Drosophila melanogaster: one gene and its partners. The protein of the gene in region 1 interacts with the protein of each later gene in a pairwise test. Each region holds a gene or a part of one and is shown in the gene's direction. Other genes may lie near its edges. The genes, in order: CG17219, TwdlL, TwdlB and CG7139.

Region 1 (3,508 bases):
GCCATGAATGGTCATGCGGGGCTTGGTCTGCCACTTGAAGAAGGCATCGTGAAGTTTCTGGTAGTCAATGTCAATTTTGCCCATCTTGGGACGGACGCGTTCACGCATCTTGGCCTTGAGTGTCTTGGCGTCCTCTCGTTCCTGCAACGATTCGCGCATCTCCATGATGCCCGTCTTTTTGATGAAGGCGGGGAGATCGAACGGAGGCTTCTCAATACCCCTTTTGCCCTGCAGATATTTTCGCTTGAAGCACCAATGCCGCGGCACTTGTACTGTGTTCCTATAGGCTTTCAGTTGAACCAGTAGTTTGGGATCTCTCGCTGTGACATCGTGCATCTCCACTACGTCAGGTCGAGAGACCAGTTGTTTCAGTTCTGCCACACTCAAACGGGTCAGTTTCTTAAGTTTCCGCTTGGACAGCTTCTCCTTGTCTTCCTTGCGCTCTTCGTCATCATCGCCGTCATCGTCCTCGTCCTCGAGCTGTTTGTCTGTAGCCTTTTTGTCCCTGGGATGGGACTCAGAATCGTGCGAAGATTTGTCCTTCTCCACAGGCTTTGGTTTGTTTTCCAGCTTGAAGATTTCGAACACACGATAAAACTGGCGGTACATTGGCGCCAAATCGGCAATGGTTATCTTTTCGGGCACATATCTGAAAGGGATAAGAGTTTATTAGTGTGGTTCCTCGGAACGAGCTGCTATGACTTACTCAATGGTCACATTTTCATCATTGGCCTCGCCAGCCTTTTTGTCCGTATCTTTCTCATCACTACGATCCTTCCTGCGCTTGCTGCGACTCTCTTTGCGTTTGTCCTTCTTTTCCTTTTCGGCAACCTGTTCGTCCTCGCTGCCATGGGCTTTTGTCTCCGAGTCCTTGGCCTCCGGTTCGTTCTCCTCCGCTTGGGCCAACTGCTGCTGCCGTGCGAACTCAATCTGGTGGCGTATCTTCCTGTTCTGCTTCTTTCGCTTCTTCTTCTTTTTGTTACGCTCCGCCTTGCTCTGCTTGCCGGTCTTTTGGCTGGCACTCCCGTTCACCTGGTTATCCGCATCCTCCTCGCTGTCCTCGCCCACATCCGCTTCGTCGCCGTCCTGGGTAGCACCCCCACTGCCACCCTGCGAATCGGCGTCCACCGTGAACTCGGCTGCCCTTTGATCCTTCAAAGCCAGAACGTCCTCCAAGGCCTTGGGCAGGACCAGTTCTCCGGGCGTTTTTTCGGCATCAACAGCATCTTCGGAGGCATCGCCGTCGCCATTGGCATTACCATTGCCGTTCTCATTTCCATTGGCCGCCGCACTTTCGTGCTGCTGCTGGTCGAAGCGAATGGACATGAGCGGCGTGGGTTGGCCGGGCTGGAAGGATTGGCATTCAATAGATGTCTTGCCGATTGGGTTTCGCAGCAAACTCACCTCGTTGTTCAACTGGTCCGCCATAAATTAAATTAATCTTTAAAAACCCAAACCGAGCCGAAATTTTTTTATAAACCACAATTCTAGTGATGCGCGACAAGATATTTTTGTACCACCGAGACATATCGATATATTCGATATGAAAATGCGAGACCCTAAATCAAGCTGGCAACGCAAAGGACAGGGCGATCTTAGTACGAAAAGCGTGGTTTTTGCCGACAGCTGATTTAAGGAGGTAAATATTAAAATATTTCATAGATTACCAGTTTAACAATGCTAATTTGTCCATTTCAGTACGATATTTAACAAGCAGTATCTGCTAAAATCAAAACAGTTCAACACCCTACCTTCTAAGCATGTTCAAATTTAATTTTGATGTGAAGGCGGAATCCTCGGAAGATCCAGAGGCCGTTAAAAATGATATTTTTAGCAAGCAGGAAAATTCAGAAGAACGTGAGTCGGGTATCACAAAGGATATAGATTGGTACAATTCGGAGAAAGTACAACCACTGGATAACCTAATTTCGGCAATGGATTTCTATGAGCTTAACGCCAAGGAAATGGAGGTGGGAAAGATGACGATAAAACATCTTGTGGCCGGGTTTCTGCTGGAGGATTTAAAGGAGCAATCCCACTTGGTAAACCTGGATCTCAGGAAGTCTGAGGAAAATCATTCAGATCTGATTTCCGGTGTCTACGAGGGCGGTGCTAAAATATGGGAATGCACTGAAGATCTTCTACTATATCTATCCGAAAAGTACGAGGACTCATTCTGGAAGGAGAAAAGAGTCCTAGATTTGGGATGTGGCTGCGGATTGCTGGGTATATATGCTATGAAACACGGCGCACGGGTGGATTTTCAGGACTACGTAAGCAAACAATAAGTCTTGAAATAGTTTGGTTGCAATCATATATTTTCAGAACAAAGATGTGCTGGAATACATAACATATCCAAATATCCTGCTAAATTTGGACGACTCTTTATCTGAAGATGAAAAGCTGAAATTTTTAGACAACAGTACAACCTTATATTCTGGAGATTGGTCTCATTTTGCTGAACTATCAAGGGATGTGGCGAAATACGATCTAATACTTACCTCTGAGACTATATACAATATTGCAAATCAGCAAAAGCTCTTGGATACCTTTGCTGGTCGCTTAAAATCCGATGGAGTCATTTTGGTTGCCGCAAAATCTCATTATTTTGGAGTTGGTGGCGGCCTGGAACAGTTTTCAGAGAACATTAGGCTGGGAAATGTTTTCCAAAGTGAGAGTGTTTGGCAGGCAGACGAAAACTTAAAAAGAGGAATCTTGCAATTGAAATTTAAATAAAATATATTTTGGAATTATTTATAACACAATTCTTAAACTTTGTAATAATGATAAGAGATCTAAGTTCAAAACATAGCGGTAGCATAAAACAAGTTGGCAGCCCACTTTACACGGGGCACCCTGTAAGGGAGGGACGTTCGTCAGCTGTGTTGTTGTAGTTGTCGTTATTCCGGAGAAATTGTAAGCAAATTCGTTGTACTCCAATAAAACAATTAAAATGGACCCACCCGGATCTGATAATTACTTTTGAAACATTTCTCCACTCGGCCAGTAGGGCGTGCACTAATCTAATCTAAACTGTTTCCGTACACGCTGCTCGGAACTCATTAAAAAACGTTCGCCGCGCCATTTCCTGTCCAAATCGATGTTCTTGATGACAGCCGGCACCTCCAATTTTCTTTCTGCAGCCTGGAGATCAGAGGCTGAGGAGTCCAAGAGTAAGGAGAACGGGAGTCTCTGCTGCTGCGAGTACGTGGCTGAGGACAGTCGAGAGCGATCCCACATCCTAGGATGCTGTTGTAACTGCGTGGACTTCGACTTAGTTTGCACAAGGTAGGATACATAAATGAAAGGCCGTCTACAATTAAAATTAAATTTACCACAGACTTGTCACCTGCCGAGCCATTGATCGAAGGAACATCGACGGCATGCTCATCGCCTTCCAGGATAGACTGCGCTTGCCATGGCGCGGAGGAGCCAAGCGAATCTCGCCCGCAGCCGTTGCTCCCGCCTTCATTGTCCCCCTCATGCTGGGATTGGCCACTCTGAACTC
Region 2 (3,509 bases), on another chromosome or scaffold:
TAACGTTAAAACCCTTCACTTTCATTCGCTTAGCTTAAGATGACAAAACACTATCAAACGATTATTTTGTATGGATTACAGAAAAGTATCAGCAGAACTTTTGATGATGATATCCTTCTATCCAAACACAGCATTTTTCATATTGTTTGATTGCTTGTACGTTCTTCTTCTCCGTTTAAATGAGATTTTAAACTGACTGGACGCAAATATTCTGGCTCTTATATACGGGACTTGTATGGAATTCCCAGACTATTTAAAACAGGTTTGCCCAGAGTTCAAAGCAAGCTTCCGACATTCTTTTTGACTTTGAACCTCAAACTAAAAAGTCACTTCAAATTCTAGACCCACTTTCGATAGCAAAAAAGGCGACAAACAGAAAGCAACAACAAACCATTAACTATCAATGGAGTTCGCATAGATTAAGATTTTATCGTTTCGTAGGCGGAACTCAAAGAATGCATCACATTGTGTTCGACTTTAATGACCATCAGAACATTTTTGGACGGGCTCTGACTTTTTTTTTGGAAACGGGTTTGATAGTTTTGCAGCATTTTCCCCAATCGAATTCCGGGCAGTTTTGCCCCGGTCAAGAATAAATCGCGGCGCCATGAACCGGTCGAGAATTTGGCTTTTGCAATTGGGCAGAAAGTCGGGGGTCGCCGACTGGATGTATTGGCGAGAATTTTAGGATAGTTTGCATAATCATTTCATAAGCGCACCGCTTTGCATAAAAAACTAGTTGAGTTATGTAGCAACCCGACGGGAATGGTGTCGGTTATAGTTCTAAGTCGGTTCTAACTACGCCAGATGGGTATATAAGCTGCTCACCTCAGTCTCAGGATTCAGTCTTGGCCTTTGCCTGTTAAGCACACCCAGCCTACAAAACCAAACCTTCACCATGCGTTTCCTCATCGCTTTCTGCCTGATTGGTGCCGCATGCGCCCAGTACAACTACGGAGCGGGATTTACCGGAGCCGCCTCCGATAATGTTCCCAGTTACTCCGGAAGCAGTGTTGGCGACTCCTACGATGGTGCTGCCAGCAGCCCGGACTACTCGGTCTCCAGCGAACTGAACAAGGAGTACTACACCTTCGAGGCTGACGAGAGCCAGTTCGAGGATCCTCTGGCCGCCCAGAAGATCGCCGGCTCCGTGAACAAGGGACTCCGCGTGGTCTTCATCAAGGGACCCGAAAACCGTGGCCTGGAGAACGCTGCTCTGGCCCTCGCCAAGCAGGCTGCCGAGCAGAGGACCGCCATCTATGTCTTGAACAAGCAGACCGACATTGGAGATCTGGCCCAGAAATTCAATGCCGCCCGCCAGAACTCCAACCAGCGTCCTGAGGTGCACTTCGTCAAGTACAGGACTCCCGAGGATGCGGCCAATGCCCAGCGTGCCATCCAGTCGCAGTACGATAACCTGGGAGGATCCAGCCAGTCCATCAACGGAGGAGTTGCCAACGCCATCAACTTCGCCTCCGCTGCCCCCGTGGTTCCCGCTCGTCGTGGCCCCAACTACTCCCCACCAGCCGCCGCCACGAGCAACTCCTACCTGCCCGCCAACATCCTGCGTCGCCTGCGCATCCGTTAAGGACCGAACGAAAACCGACAGTTGTTAAATGTGTTGTATAAATGTAATTGAATAAAAAACGAAAATCGATAAAAACAAATACGCTTAGATTTATATATCTATTTTTAATCTAGATCTTCGAAGTTTCTGACTTTGTCATCGGCCATTGCAATTTGTTTGTTTTTTAATAGCTTTTCCTTATAATAACATTTATGCAAAGCTGAATTGCTCTGCGAGCCCGAACAAAAGCCGTTCGCTGCCTACTTTGTAGGCGGACAAAACATTTAGCAGCATCAGCGCTTTGTCTTCGAAAAACTGCGCCGCCAGCTTCGAAGTTGGGTTAGTATATATAGTTACCGCCGCCGTGGTCATAGGCAGAAGCAATTTGTGCTCCGAACCAAGAGAACCTCAAACCCAAAACTAAAGATGCGCGCCTTCATCGTAAGTGGTGTAGCCAGGACTTAAGACGAATTCACAACTAACGGATAACCCTTGAATCCTGTAGGTAATGTGCCTGGTGGCAGTCGCCTGCGCCGATAAGCTCGGCTACAACTACCAGCCCGTGGGACACTCCAGCTCCGGACTGTCCTTTGCTCCTGGAAGTGGCAGCATTGGAGGTGGATCCATTGGAGGTGGTTCGATTGGAGGAGGCTCCATTGGAGGAGGATCCATTGGAGGAGGCCTCATTGGTGGTGGCTCTATCGGAGGCGGTTCCATTGGAGGTGGTTCCCTTGGTGGTTCCATCGGTGGTGGCTCTATTGATTCCGGTCTTGGCGGTCTTGGTGGACTCGGTGGTCTAGGAGGTGGCGACGCTCTGGCCGCTCCAGTCTCCTACAACGCCCCCGCTCCCGCTGCTGAGCTCCAGAAGGAGTTCTTCACCTACTCCGCCAACGAGCAGGACTTCGATGAGCCACAAGAACTGGAGCGTGTTGCTGGATCCGTAAACAAGGGACTGCGCGTTGTCTTCATCAAGGGACCCGAGAACCGTGGTCTGGAGAACGCTGCCCTAGCCCTCGCCAAGCAGGCTGCCCAGCAGGAGACCGCCATCTATGTCCTGAACAAGCAGGCCGATATTGGAGATCTTGCCCAGAAACTGAACGCCATCCGCAACAACAATAACAACAAGCCCGAGGTGCACTTCGTCAAGTACCGCACTCCCGAGGATGCTGCCAACGCCCAGCGCGCCATCCAGTCGCAGTACGACCAATTGGGAGGATCCTCTCAGGCCCACAACGGTGGTGTGGCACCCGCCCTGAACTTCGCCTCCGCTGGTCCCGTCCAGAAGGCTAATGCTCAGATCCCTGAGAACGCTTACCTGCCCACTTCCATCTTCCGTCGTCGTTTGTAAATATTTTAACGACTTCGAGATGAAGGCGTTGACTGTTCTTGTTAAATCTTATTGTTGAAATCTATTGATAAATAATATACAAAAATCTGAATACAAACATTCTATGATATTTTATATTGGATGGTGGTGTAGTAAACAATAGTGTATACCTTCCGATGACAACATGAGTGGAGTTACAAGTTGGGCTTTTAGAAAATTATTTCAGTCTTTGGTGAGATTTTTCGACCTGTTTTTATTGCACAAAAAGTTTGGTAATGACTTTTAATTTGAATTTATTCTTAAAAAGGTGCAACGCTATTAACTTAATACAAAGCAAAAGACCTTTAAAACTCATTAAGAATTTGGTAAGCTATATTACCCAAGGCAGCTTCCCGATGACCTTGACGTTTAATATTTGTCATAACCAAAATATTATCCTACGAAGTACTGGGAAAAGAATAAAATAAAATATTTCCGCATATTTTAAATGTAGGCAAAATGTTTTTACGACAAAAAAGTTAAATTAAATATAAACATATCGTTTTCACCACTCTCAAGTTAAATTTTTTATTTCATTAGTAATATATGCGAAAATAAAGAATCAATGAACTGGGG
Region 3 (3,169 bases), on another chromosome or scaffold:
AAGGGACCCGAGAACCGTGGTCTGGAGAACGCTGCCCTAGCCCTCGCCAAGCAGGCTGCCCAGCAGGAGACCGCCATCTATGTCCTGAACAAGCAGGCCGATATTGGAGATCTTGCCCAGAAACTGAACGCCATCCGCAACAACAATAACAACAAGCCCGAGGTGCACTTCGTCAAGTACCGCACTCCCGAGGATGCTGCCAACGCCCAGCGCGCCATCCAGTCGCAGTACGACCAATTGGGAGGATCCTCTCAGGCCCACAACGGTGGTGTGGCACCCGCCCTGAACTTCGCCTCCGCTGGTCCCGTCCAGAAGGCTAATGCTCAGATCCCTGAGAACGCTTACCTGCCCACTTCCATCTTCCGTCGTCGTTTGTAAATATTTTAACGACTTCGAGATGAAGGCGTTGACTGTTCTTGTTAAATCTTATTGTTGAAATCTATTGATAAATAATATACAAAAATCTGAATACAAACATTCTATGATATTTTATATTGGATGGTGGTGTAGTAAACAATAGTGTATACCTTCCGATGACAACATGAGTGGAGTTACAAGTTGGGCTTTTAGAAAATTATTTCAGTCTTTGGTGAGATTTTTCGACCTGTTTTTATTGCACAAAAAGTTTGGTAATGACTTTTAATTTGAATTTATTCTTAAAAAGGTGCAACGCTATTAACTTAATACAAAGCAAAAGACCTTTAAAACTCATTAAGAATTTGGTAAGCTATATTACCCAAGGCAGCTTCCCGATGACCTTGACGTTTAATATTTGTCATAACCAAAATATTATCCTACGAAGTACTGGGAAAAGAATAAAATAAAATATTTCCGCATATTTTAAATGTAGGCAAAATGTTTTTACGACAAAAAAGTTAAATTAAATATAAACATATCGTTTTCACCACTCTCAAGTTAAATTTTTTATTTCATTAGTAATATATGCGAAAATAAAGAATCAATGAACTGGGGGCGGCATTTCAAACATCTCATTAGACGACTTGCTAAATTTAGCGCTTGCATCATGTCCATAAATCAGAACTAAACAGATGTGTCGAAAACGATTATAATGACTAAACGATTGTCATTCAGTCGGAAAAACCAAGTGCAGATGTCCTACATAAAACAAGCTTTTAGCCTTGCCGAAGAATTTGTCAAAAAAATGTATTTTATATAATACTCGTACCTAATTATGACCCATCTGCATGTTAAACTCATTCCGACGTGCTCGCGACATATTAATTTTATAATTCAATATGAATTCTTGTAAACTATTGGACGAAACTCGAAATATTTGAATAACCCACGACGGCCAGACTCTGCCCATTGAAACGCAACCAAAAAATTCCACACCGAACATTAAAAAAAACAGAGGAAGCAAAAACCTTTGTAGGCGGCAAAACACAGTGGCTTCAAAGAAATCTCCGTGCAGCAGACGCCGCGGCGGTATCTTTGTCTTTATCAGCCTCCAAGATGGATTTGTATAAATAATAAAGATCGCTCCTAGCCAGAGACACAAGCAACTCATACCTCAAAGCAAAAGAACCAGCAATCTGCTTAAGATGCGCGCATTCATTGTAAGTAGCGCGGTTAAGGATTCAAAGGATTATACGCCAGGATAACACTTCTCTTTTCATGCCTCCAGGTCCTGTGTTTGGTGGCAGTCACCTGCGCCGATAAGCTCGGCTACAACTACCAGCCCGTTGGCCACTCCAGCTCCGGACTGTCCTTCGCTCCTGGCAGCGGCTCTATCAGTGGTGGATCTATTGGAGGAGGCTCCATCGGAGGAGGTTCTATTGGAGGAGGCTCTATTGGAGGAGGCCTCATTGGTGGTGGCTCTATCGGAGGAGGAAGCATCGGAGGTGGATCCCTTGGTGGTTCCATCGGTGGTGGCTCCATCGATTCCGGTCTTGGCGGTCTTGGTGGACTCGGTGGTCTAGGAGGTGGCGACGCTCTGGCCGCTCCAGTCTCCTACAACGCCCCCGCTCCCGCTGCTGAGCTCCAGAAGGAATTCTTCACCTACTCCGCCAACGAGCAGGACTTCGATGAGCCACAAGAACTGGAGCGTGTTGCTGGATCCGTAAACAAGGGACTGCGCGTTGTCTTCATCAAGGGACCCGAGAACCGTGGTCTGGAGAACGCTGCCCTGGCCCTCGCCAAGCAGGCTGCCCAGCAGGAGACCGCCATCTATGTCCTGAACAAGCAGGCTGATATTGGAGATCTTGCCCAGAAACTGAACGCCATCCGCAACAACAACAACAACAAGCCCGAGGTGCACTTCGTCAAGTACCGCACTCCCGAGGATGCTGCCAACGCCCAGCGCGCCATCCAGGGTCAGTACGACCAGCTGGGAGGATCCTCTCAGGCTCATGATGGTGGTGTTGCACCCGCCCTGAACTTCGCCTCCGCTGGACCCGTCCAGAAGGCTAACGCCCAGATCCCCGACAACGCCTACCTGCCCACTTCTGTGTTCCGTCGTCTGCGTTTCTAGGAAGGCTACATCTTGGACTCCATTAACTTAAGCAAATCTCGACTGAAGAACTCATTCTTCCTGTTACACGTTGTTGACTAATGCATAATTACACCAATAAATTTGAAATTTAAATACGAAAATTTAAACAAAGGTCTACCTTATGTGTTTTATAGAGTGAGATTTTTATTGCGGCTTGGCCATAGTAGCTAATGGTGCATTAAGTCCGCCTTGTTTGGCTTGATTGTTTGCGGATGGGTTAAGTATAAAAAGTGCCCTTCAAACTATAAATATCTCGAATTGACGACATCAAGATCAGGAAAGGCAGTTCGGAGCAGGTTTCCTTTATGAGTTTAAGCCCTCGTCGAATCATATTCACCTAGACTTTCCATACAAATCAATGGACTAATTATCTGACATAGCCAACTCGCATGCCGCCAAATTAATTGACTACAAGATTAGATCCACCCACTTGGCCAGCGGGAAGCATTAATACCGGACTCCCGGCCAACGAGGAACTGGTTCTTTCCCGACGACAGCTCAAGGTCGCGAAGATGCCAACAACTGTTAGATGACCTGGTTTCCGAGGCCCGTCGTGTGTCACGTACAATTAGAAAGGAATCTCAAGTGCAACCCACATACGAAGGCAATGAAGATTTATGCCCAATCGAAACCTGATTAGCCATAAAAACAAAGTCT
Region 4 (7,086 bases), on another chromosome or scaffold:
AGATCGAAAAGAATACTGGGACTCGGCAAACTGGCGCCATGGGCAAATACTCGAGTTTCTCCTAGGACTCTGAACGCGCCCTTTTCTTCGGCTGCCAAAGTCGTGGCCAAAACAGTAATCCGAGGCCAAAGAGCCGTAGGTTCTTCTGCAACTTCCAGTTCGTCCTTAGCATCGGCTGCGAACGTGGCTGTGAAATCCCTACCAAGCAAAGCTTCAGTGAATTCTGCTACGGAAACAGTCGCTAAAACACTTTCCCAGGGATCACGAGCTGGACCATATTCAGCTTTGAAAACAGTTTGGTCCTCAGCGGTTTCATATCTGCGCTCTCTTCTAAATTGGGCAACTACACCGAAATGGGGGAAGGCAACACCAGCAACCATTGCTGGTTTGGTTCATAACTCCAGACCAGTTTGGTCATCTGCAGCAAAAAATACCCTTGCTGCCTTGATGTATGCATGCTCCAAAATATCTTCGTATTTGCGCGCTTTGGCCGGGCGCTTTATTAGTCCCACCTTTAGACGCCTCCAAAGACTACAATCTTTTAAAGGAAGCTTGAAAAATTGAAAAATTCCATATCTGGTGACTCCGCTAAAAACGCGTAGAAGGCAACTCAGACAGAGCAGCTCCGCCTCAATCTAAAGGTATATCCTGAAACATGTTTTGCTTTTTTTAATCAAGAAGCATTAAAGAAATAGGGTTAAAATAGAATCGAATACGATATGGCATACACACAAAAAAAAATTCAAATAAATAAAATTTTTATACCTTCGGACTAAAATATTGTTTTCATACTCTGCATCGGATTTGGTTATGTATATACAGCTGTGTTCAATGAAATAGCAGTGCGAAATATGAAATACAGATATTTTTCCATGTCCCTTTTCGGTATCGACTATTTATTCCACTTATTTTTGAATATGTGCCCTGTCCAGTCAGGAACTTTGAAAGCTAGAATGTTAAGAATAATTATAGCGATTATAGAGACATAGACGCAGCGCAAGTTTGTTGACCCATGTTAACACGCCCAATAAACGCCCACAAGCCGCCCAAAACTGTCCAAATTGTTAAGATATTTTTTTCATTTTTTATTTGTCTATTATAATTATATTTTATTATATTATATTTTATTATTTTTATATTATATATATATACATATATATATATTATACATATTATTATATATATTATATTATTATATACATTATATTTTAATTTTTTCGTTTTATTGTGTGTCTTGTCAATTTCCATCTGTATCAAAAACACTTTTGCCACGTCCCTCTTTACACCAGCAAAACGCCCAAAACATTCCCACTTTTAAACAATTTTAAAAAATGTTCTTAAAATTAATGAAATTTGCACACTACTAACTGAGTAAATGGTATCTCAATAAAATATGATGGCAAATGTAGAAACGAAAGACGTATTTATTTTCTTTAAACAACAATATGTCCTTGGTGCGAAATAATATACAGATAACACGATTTATTTATCGATGTTTTTCCATACAAAGATAACACACATTTCCTCAATATCGATCGATATTCCAGAAAAATTATGAAATTCGCACACTACTAACTGAGTATCTTATAGTCGGGTAACTCGACTATAGCATTCTCCCTTCTCTTCTTCTGTTCACAATTCCATTTCTATGTTATCGGAAGAAAAACTATATTTTGCTGCGTAAGCGAAACTAGAATTCGGGTGTTTAGTACCCAATTAACAGCTCTCAAAGTTCCCGAGATATTGGATTTCGTACGGACGGACGTGATAACGACGTTATAATTTCATGTTATTTTATAACATTTATCATAATCATATTAAGAATCTTATTTATGTGCTTAACATAATGTTTTCATAGTATTAAAAAAAAAAATCCAAAAACTTAGCGATTTTATTCCGAAGCAATAGCTTGGCTTGAAAAAAGCTGGCCGCCAGCACTGCTGCTTATCGATGACGCGTGACCATAGCCTCCTCCATCGATAGCCTCCGCACAGACGTGGTTTTCCCAACTTGCAATGCAGCGAATTAACGGATGTAATGCGACGCATAGCTTCCCGATTTCTGGAAACAAGCAAACGAAGTTGCAGCCCGCAGGTTGATCCTTGCATGACAACCGATTGAATGAGAGAGATTGAGACATCAACGCGCAGTTACGACATCGGGGGATTACAGTCTGGTCAGATATTGGTGAGTCCGAGATTCAGATGCGAATTGGGTGATGGGGTGTCTGTGGTTACTGCGCATTACGTTGGTCGATCCCCCCTAAACGATCTGCTTTCACAGGGCAAGCTAGCAAAAGGAAAACAAACGCCATGTCGACAGAGCGAAGCTCGCATTCAGCTGAACCAGCGGATTTGGCGCTTTTGTTGGACCGCATCAACATCAACAACAACAATAATAATAATAAGAATAATAATAATAATAATAACAACAACAACAACAACAATAATAATAATGACAATAACAATTGCGGTCGCAGCAAGAGCGGTGGAACTCACAGGAAATATGCAACTGCTGAAGCCCCAAGCTCCATTAGAATGTGCCCCGCCAGCAATCTGAACAGCAACCAAAGCAACAAACAATTTAACTCGATTTGCCAGCGGGCGCAGGCGGGCCATAAGCTGATGATCATAATGCGCGGCCCTTCAGGCAGCGGTAAGAGTACACTGGCAGAGTCTCTGCTGCGCCAGGCGCATCTACTCGATCGACACCAGGTGCGCGACTTTGTCCTGAGCTCAGACGACTACTTCAAGACGCGCCGCGGCTATGTCTTCAACCCCACTCTGCTGCCAGCTGCCCACGAGTGGAACCAGCAGCGAGTGCGCGATAAGGCCGCCTCCGGCTGGAGCCCCATCATCGTGGATAACACCAATACAATGGTCTGGGAGATGCAGCCATATGTCCAGTTCGCCGTGCGCCACGGTTACGTAATTGAGCTTCTCGAGCCCAATACTAGTTGGTGCAAGTCTGCCAGCAAACTGGCCCAGAAAAACGTCCACAACGTCCCACGGGAGAATATTCAGCGCATGCTAGAGCGATTCGAGCGGACGACTGCGGGAGAGCTCATTCAGGTAAGAAGGCACTTTAAATCGTCTATATACATACATATGTATATAAAGATAGAGATTTATTGTTAACTGCAATCTCATTGTGAGTCAGCCAAAAATGTGTAATTGTATACCCGTTACGCGAGTGTAAAACGTTTAACTAAGCTCGATAAAAAATCTTTAAGAGGTATATATTTATTCTTAATCATTATCACTGACCAATTCAATTTTGCTTCTTTGCATTTCATTATTTTTCCGGCGAACTTCCTTTGAATTGCGAAAAACATTCAGACCACCTGCAGAAACATAGTAGAGGCCTTTTTTGTTGGCTACTTAATTTTTTAGGGCATACCATGGTCAGTCAGAAAGTCGCTGGCAATCTGAGAAACAGTCGCTTTTTTGTAGCTGAGAGAAGACGGGTATCGAATATCCGAGGATCGGAATGTGGCAGTCTAGCCACATACACATACAATTTGAGGCAACTAGCTCGTTTTCATTTTTTATTGGTAAATTTTTGGTATATTACGTTCTTGGTTGTATTTTATTTTCTACCCCGAAGCTTATTAAGTAATGGCACTTACTATAGTTTGTATCTTTCACATCCTCTACCGGAATATTTTATGCGACAGTTAATGAAGGAGACAAAGTATTCTGTGGAGCTGCCGCAACTACGCAATCACCCGCCCCTTCCTGCCGTGCCTATCATCACGAGCTTTGAAGAGAGCAAGCTGCTGGAAGCCCCAGTCCCAGCGCCAGCGGAAAATGCCTTTAAGCTGAATGCTAATGCCCAAACGTGGGTGCCCTACGAGCACGGAGCGCCTTCATACTGGTCGCAAACAGTGAACTCAGTAGACACAGGCGACGCGACAGTTCCGGAAATTCCGGATGCTTTGGGTGCCGCAGCTCCCGTAAAGAGCGAATTGTCTATTATTGATCTGCTCCGCGAAGAGAACCAAATAAAGGTGGTGCCGTCGAAAGCGGAGTCTAGCGGGGCAAAGCCTCTTGAGATGCACAGCCTAGACTGCCCAAATGAACCGAAAGGGTTTGCACACCTGCGCCAGATGTATCCCAACAAACAGCTGGCCGGCCTCTGGGATCTGTTTGTAAAGTGCCAGGCCGACGTGGATTGGGCCGTTGATATTCTATTAAAGGAGGACGAGCTCAACGCGGCCACTGGTTCGGATCAAATCGGATTTGAAGAAACTATCGATAGCGAGGAGGCGGCGCAGTTTCAATGCGACTGCGACAAGGCGGTTGAAGCCCAGGAATCTCCGATTTCAACTCCCATCTGCGCCTCACCAACTTTACCAGTATCGAAGACCGAATCCAAGCCGCAACGTCAACCGCGCAACAAACGAGCATCGGCCCCCACCAACAAAGAGTTGCAACTGAAAATCCAGAATTGCTTTGTGTTAGGTAAGATATTGTTCTAATAGGAGTCAATTAAAAATAAACTTATTATTTATATTGCGTTAACACTCACGGCACTAATGAATTTAATGTATTTCCATTATATTATGTTAGAGATTCGAGTTCGATATCTGATGCTAACTAATATTAAATAACTAATAATAACTAATGATTATTGATTTTTAGGCGACGAACAATACTCGGAGCACACCCGTAAAATTCGCGATATTCGCAATGGAATCCTGGATCAACCTACAGTGCCTAAGCTACTGGAAGCACCCGAGGAACCAGAGCTTGAAGAGCAGGAGGAGGAGGAGGACCCTGAAGAAAATACTCTGCTGGAAATTGATTTGGGCGGCACTTTAATTGAGCAGCTGCGCGCTCAGTTCCACACGGAGGACGAGTTGTTGCCGCCGGAACAGGAGCTTCCCACCGCAACAAAAATATTTATGCCGCGTCAGCTAGCCAAGCAGCTTTACATGTTATGGATGGAAGCTGTGTTTAACCAGCTAGAGGAGATACGCCAGCAGACAATGCGCGATGACGAGCAGTTCGCCCGCCTGCTCAAGCATCCAGGTTACGCCGATTGCAGCGAGTCTCCGAGCAACGTGGCTGAGCTTTTGGATATGGAGTTGGCCTGGAGCATATACAATAGCGAGCAGCTGGCCGCCAAGAAGGCAGCCGAGTTGACCGCTCGCAAACAAACGCCCACCGATATAGCTACCCACCTAACCAAGATGAAGCTGTGCGAGACGTTCCCGGACGTTCCTACCGACACTGTGCTTGAGGTCTTTGCCGCAACCGGCAGCAATTACGTTCAAACAGTCGAGGTCTTGGACAGCAACGTTAAGAGTATGCTGAGCAAAGCGGAACTCTATGATAAGGCCCTTCGCGAGGGCGAAAAGCTTAGTGAGCAAATGGCGCTGGAAGAGCGGCGGCAGCAGCAGCAACAAAAGCAACATAACTCCTCCGGCCAAGGCCAGCGCTCCAGCTCCAGTTCGTACGCCTCTGGCCGGTCGCCCCAACTGCAAGAGGAGGTCAAGTGCGCCGCTCTTCGCGACTTTGAAGAGACGCGAAACATGGCCGCCCATCACTCCCAACTTAAAGCAGAGTGCTATCTAAAGGCCAAACAGGCGGTACAGCGCGGCAATAGTAGCGTGGCGTTATACTACTCGGAGATAGCCAAGTTACACAAGCAGAAGATCGACGTATTCAACCAGAGGGCGGCCAATTGCATAATGGAGGTGCATCGGCACACCCAGAACAACCCGGACCTGCTAGACCTGCATTACCTACACACGGTAGAGGCGATCAGTTGCCTGGACTTGTTCCTTGACCGCCACATAACTGTGCTGCGCAACACCACCCGCGTGTACAAGCACGTATTCATTATCACGGGCCGTGGTCTTCACAGCGCAAACGGAGTGTCCACCATTAAGAACAGGGTGAAGGCCAGGCTGGGCGAACGCCGTTTGCGGTTAGTAAGGGGCATATTTCGTTAAAAGTCGTCTAATTATTCACCAACCTATTTCAGATGGCAAGAAGTTAATCCAGGGTTGCTGCGCGTCAAGGTGTTTTCAGCATCGCGTCATTCAAAGAACTTCTGATTGGATGCGAATCGCACGACAGGACTTGCTGGACAAAATGCGTTTCACACTGCCATATAGAAAAAAAGCAAGTGTTATTTAACTTTTGTAATTGCCTACAAAATTGTAAAGTTAAGTAATCATTTTCCCCTGTCCTGGTCGCTGTTTTACTTTCGAATGTGTTCTATAACCTATGAAACATTCCCGATTTTATTACTCTATATTACTTTCAATGCTCGTCCCAATTATTTTTAAGTTTGAATAATGCTTCCAGCGTAGAGTTTGTGTACGACGCGAATTCGCAATGCGACTCAGGAAAGTAGTGATTTAGTATCTTCCAATAATATACCTAATCACAGAATTACTTATTTTTATACTAGTTTACTCAATGTACTACCTAGGTACAATAGGATTAGTGTAAAAATAGTAGTCCTAAGGTACACGAGGTCCAAAAATTACCATTACATTTCAGATTAATAAGCAAATATTGACATTTTCTTTATAAATAAATCGAAACGTGAGAAGGATATTATTCAGACAAGTTTTTAAACGAACATCGTAGTACGATATTTTATTTTTCAAACTGTTACATCGAACATTCTACAATATGTTGTAAACATACTGGCTTCGAAAATCAATTTGTACTACAAATTACGTAGTAGCAATGTATGCCTAGATCCGTCAATTAGCCATCGAACTTTCCAGTGTTTACAATAGTGGTTGGTTTAGTTCTAGGTACCGCTGATCAGTCTGTTCTATGAGCAATATAAACCTTCCTTCTGCCTACCTGGACCATCTGCCCGGCAGGGAAGAGCATAACCTTGGTTTAATGTTTGAAACATGGAAAGACGACAATCTTTATTTACCACTACAAAATCTTTTAGCCTGACATCGGAAAACGCGTGACACGAAGCTTAGGTAAACTGAAGGATCAGCCGAGGATACACATCTGGGTGTACACCTGCTGACCGCTGGGTGTGAACAATACATTCAGGTAAATGGTAACTTATTCTAGAACATCGATGGCAGTCTGAGCGAGGGCT

The links.
Region 2: the proteins of CG17219 (region 1) and TwdlL interact in a two-hybrid assay, tested with the Drosophila melanogaster proteins (one large-scale study listed by BioGRID).
Region 3: the proteins of CG17219 (region 1) and TwdlB interact in a two-hybrid assay, tested with the Drosophila melanogaster proteins (one large-scale study listed by BioGRID).
Region 4: the proteins of CG17219 (region 1) and CG7139 interact in a two-hybrid assay, tested with the Drosophila melanogaster proteins (one large-scale study listed by BioGRID).

The regions. Positions count from the first base shown.
Region 1 is NT_033779.5:3,027,660-3,031,167, forward strand, and holds CG17219 (uncharacterized protein), read left to right. Parts: upstream 1-1,593; 5' UTR 1,594-1,639; intron 1,640-1,698; 5' UTR 1,699-1,760; coding exon 1,761-2,273; intron 2,274-2,325; coding exon 2,326-2,736; 3' UTR 2,737-2,957; downstream 2,958-3,508. Other genes in the region: Sf3b2 (splicing factor 3b subunit 2), read right to left, coding at 1-649, 707-1,347, 1,405-1,428; GABPI (beta4GalNAcTB pilot), read left to right, coding at 3,101-3,288, 3,341-3,508.
Region 2 is NT_033777.3:26,624,087-26,627,595, reverse strand, and holds TwdlL (TweedleL), read left to right. Parts: upstream 1-1,943; 5' UTR 1,944-1,993; coding exon 1,994-2,008; exon of another isoform or gene 2,009-2,072; coding exon 2,073-2,915; 3' UTR 2,916-3,009; downstream 3,010-3,509. Other genes in the region: TwdlO (TweedleO), read left to right, coding at 899-1,588.
Region 3 is NT_033777.3:26,621,890-26,625,058, reverse strand, and holds TwdlB (TweedleB), read left to right. Parts: upstream 1-1,515; 5' UTR 1,516-1,562; coding exon 1,563-1,577; intron 1,578-1,645; coding exon 1,646-2,491; 3' UTR 2,492-2,608; downstream 2,609-3,169. Other genes in the region: TwdlL (TweedleL), read left to right, coding at 1-378.
Region 4 is NT_037436.4:22,066,753-22,073,838, reverse strand, and holds CG7139 (uncharacterized protein), read left to right. Parts: upstream 1-1,990; 5' UTR 1,991-2,187; intron 2,188-2,283; 5' UTR 2,284-2,312; coding exon 2,313-3,071; intron 3,072-3,676; coding exon 3,677-4,463; intron 4,464-4,643; coding exon 4,644-5,934; intron 5,935-5,991; coding exon 5,992-6,064; 3' UTR 6,065-6,569; downstream 6,570-7,086. Other genes in the region: CG7133 (uncharacterized protein), read left to right, coding at 1-564.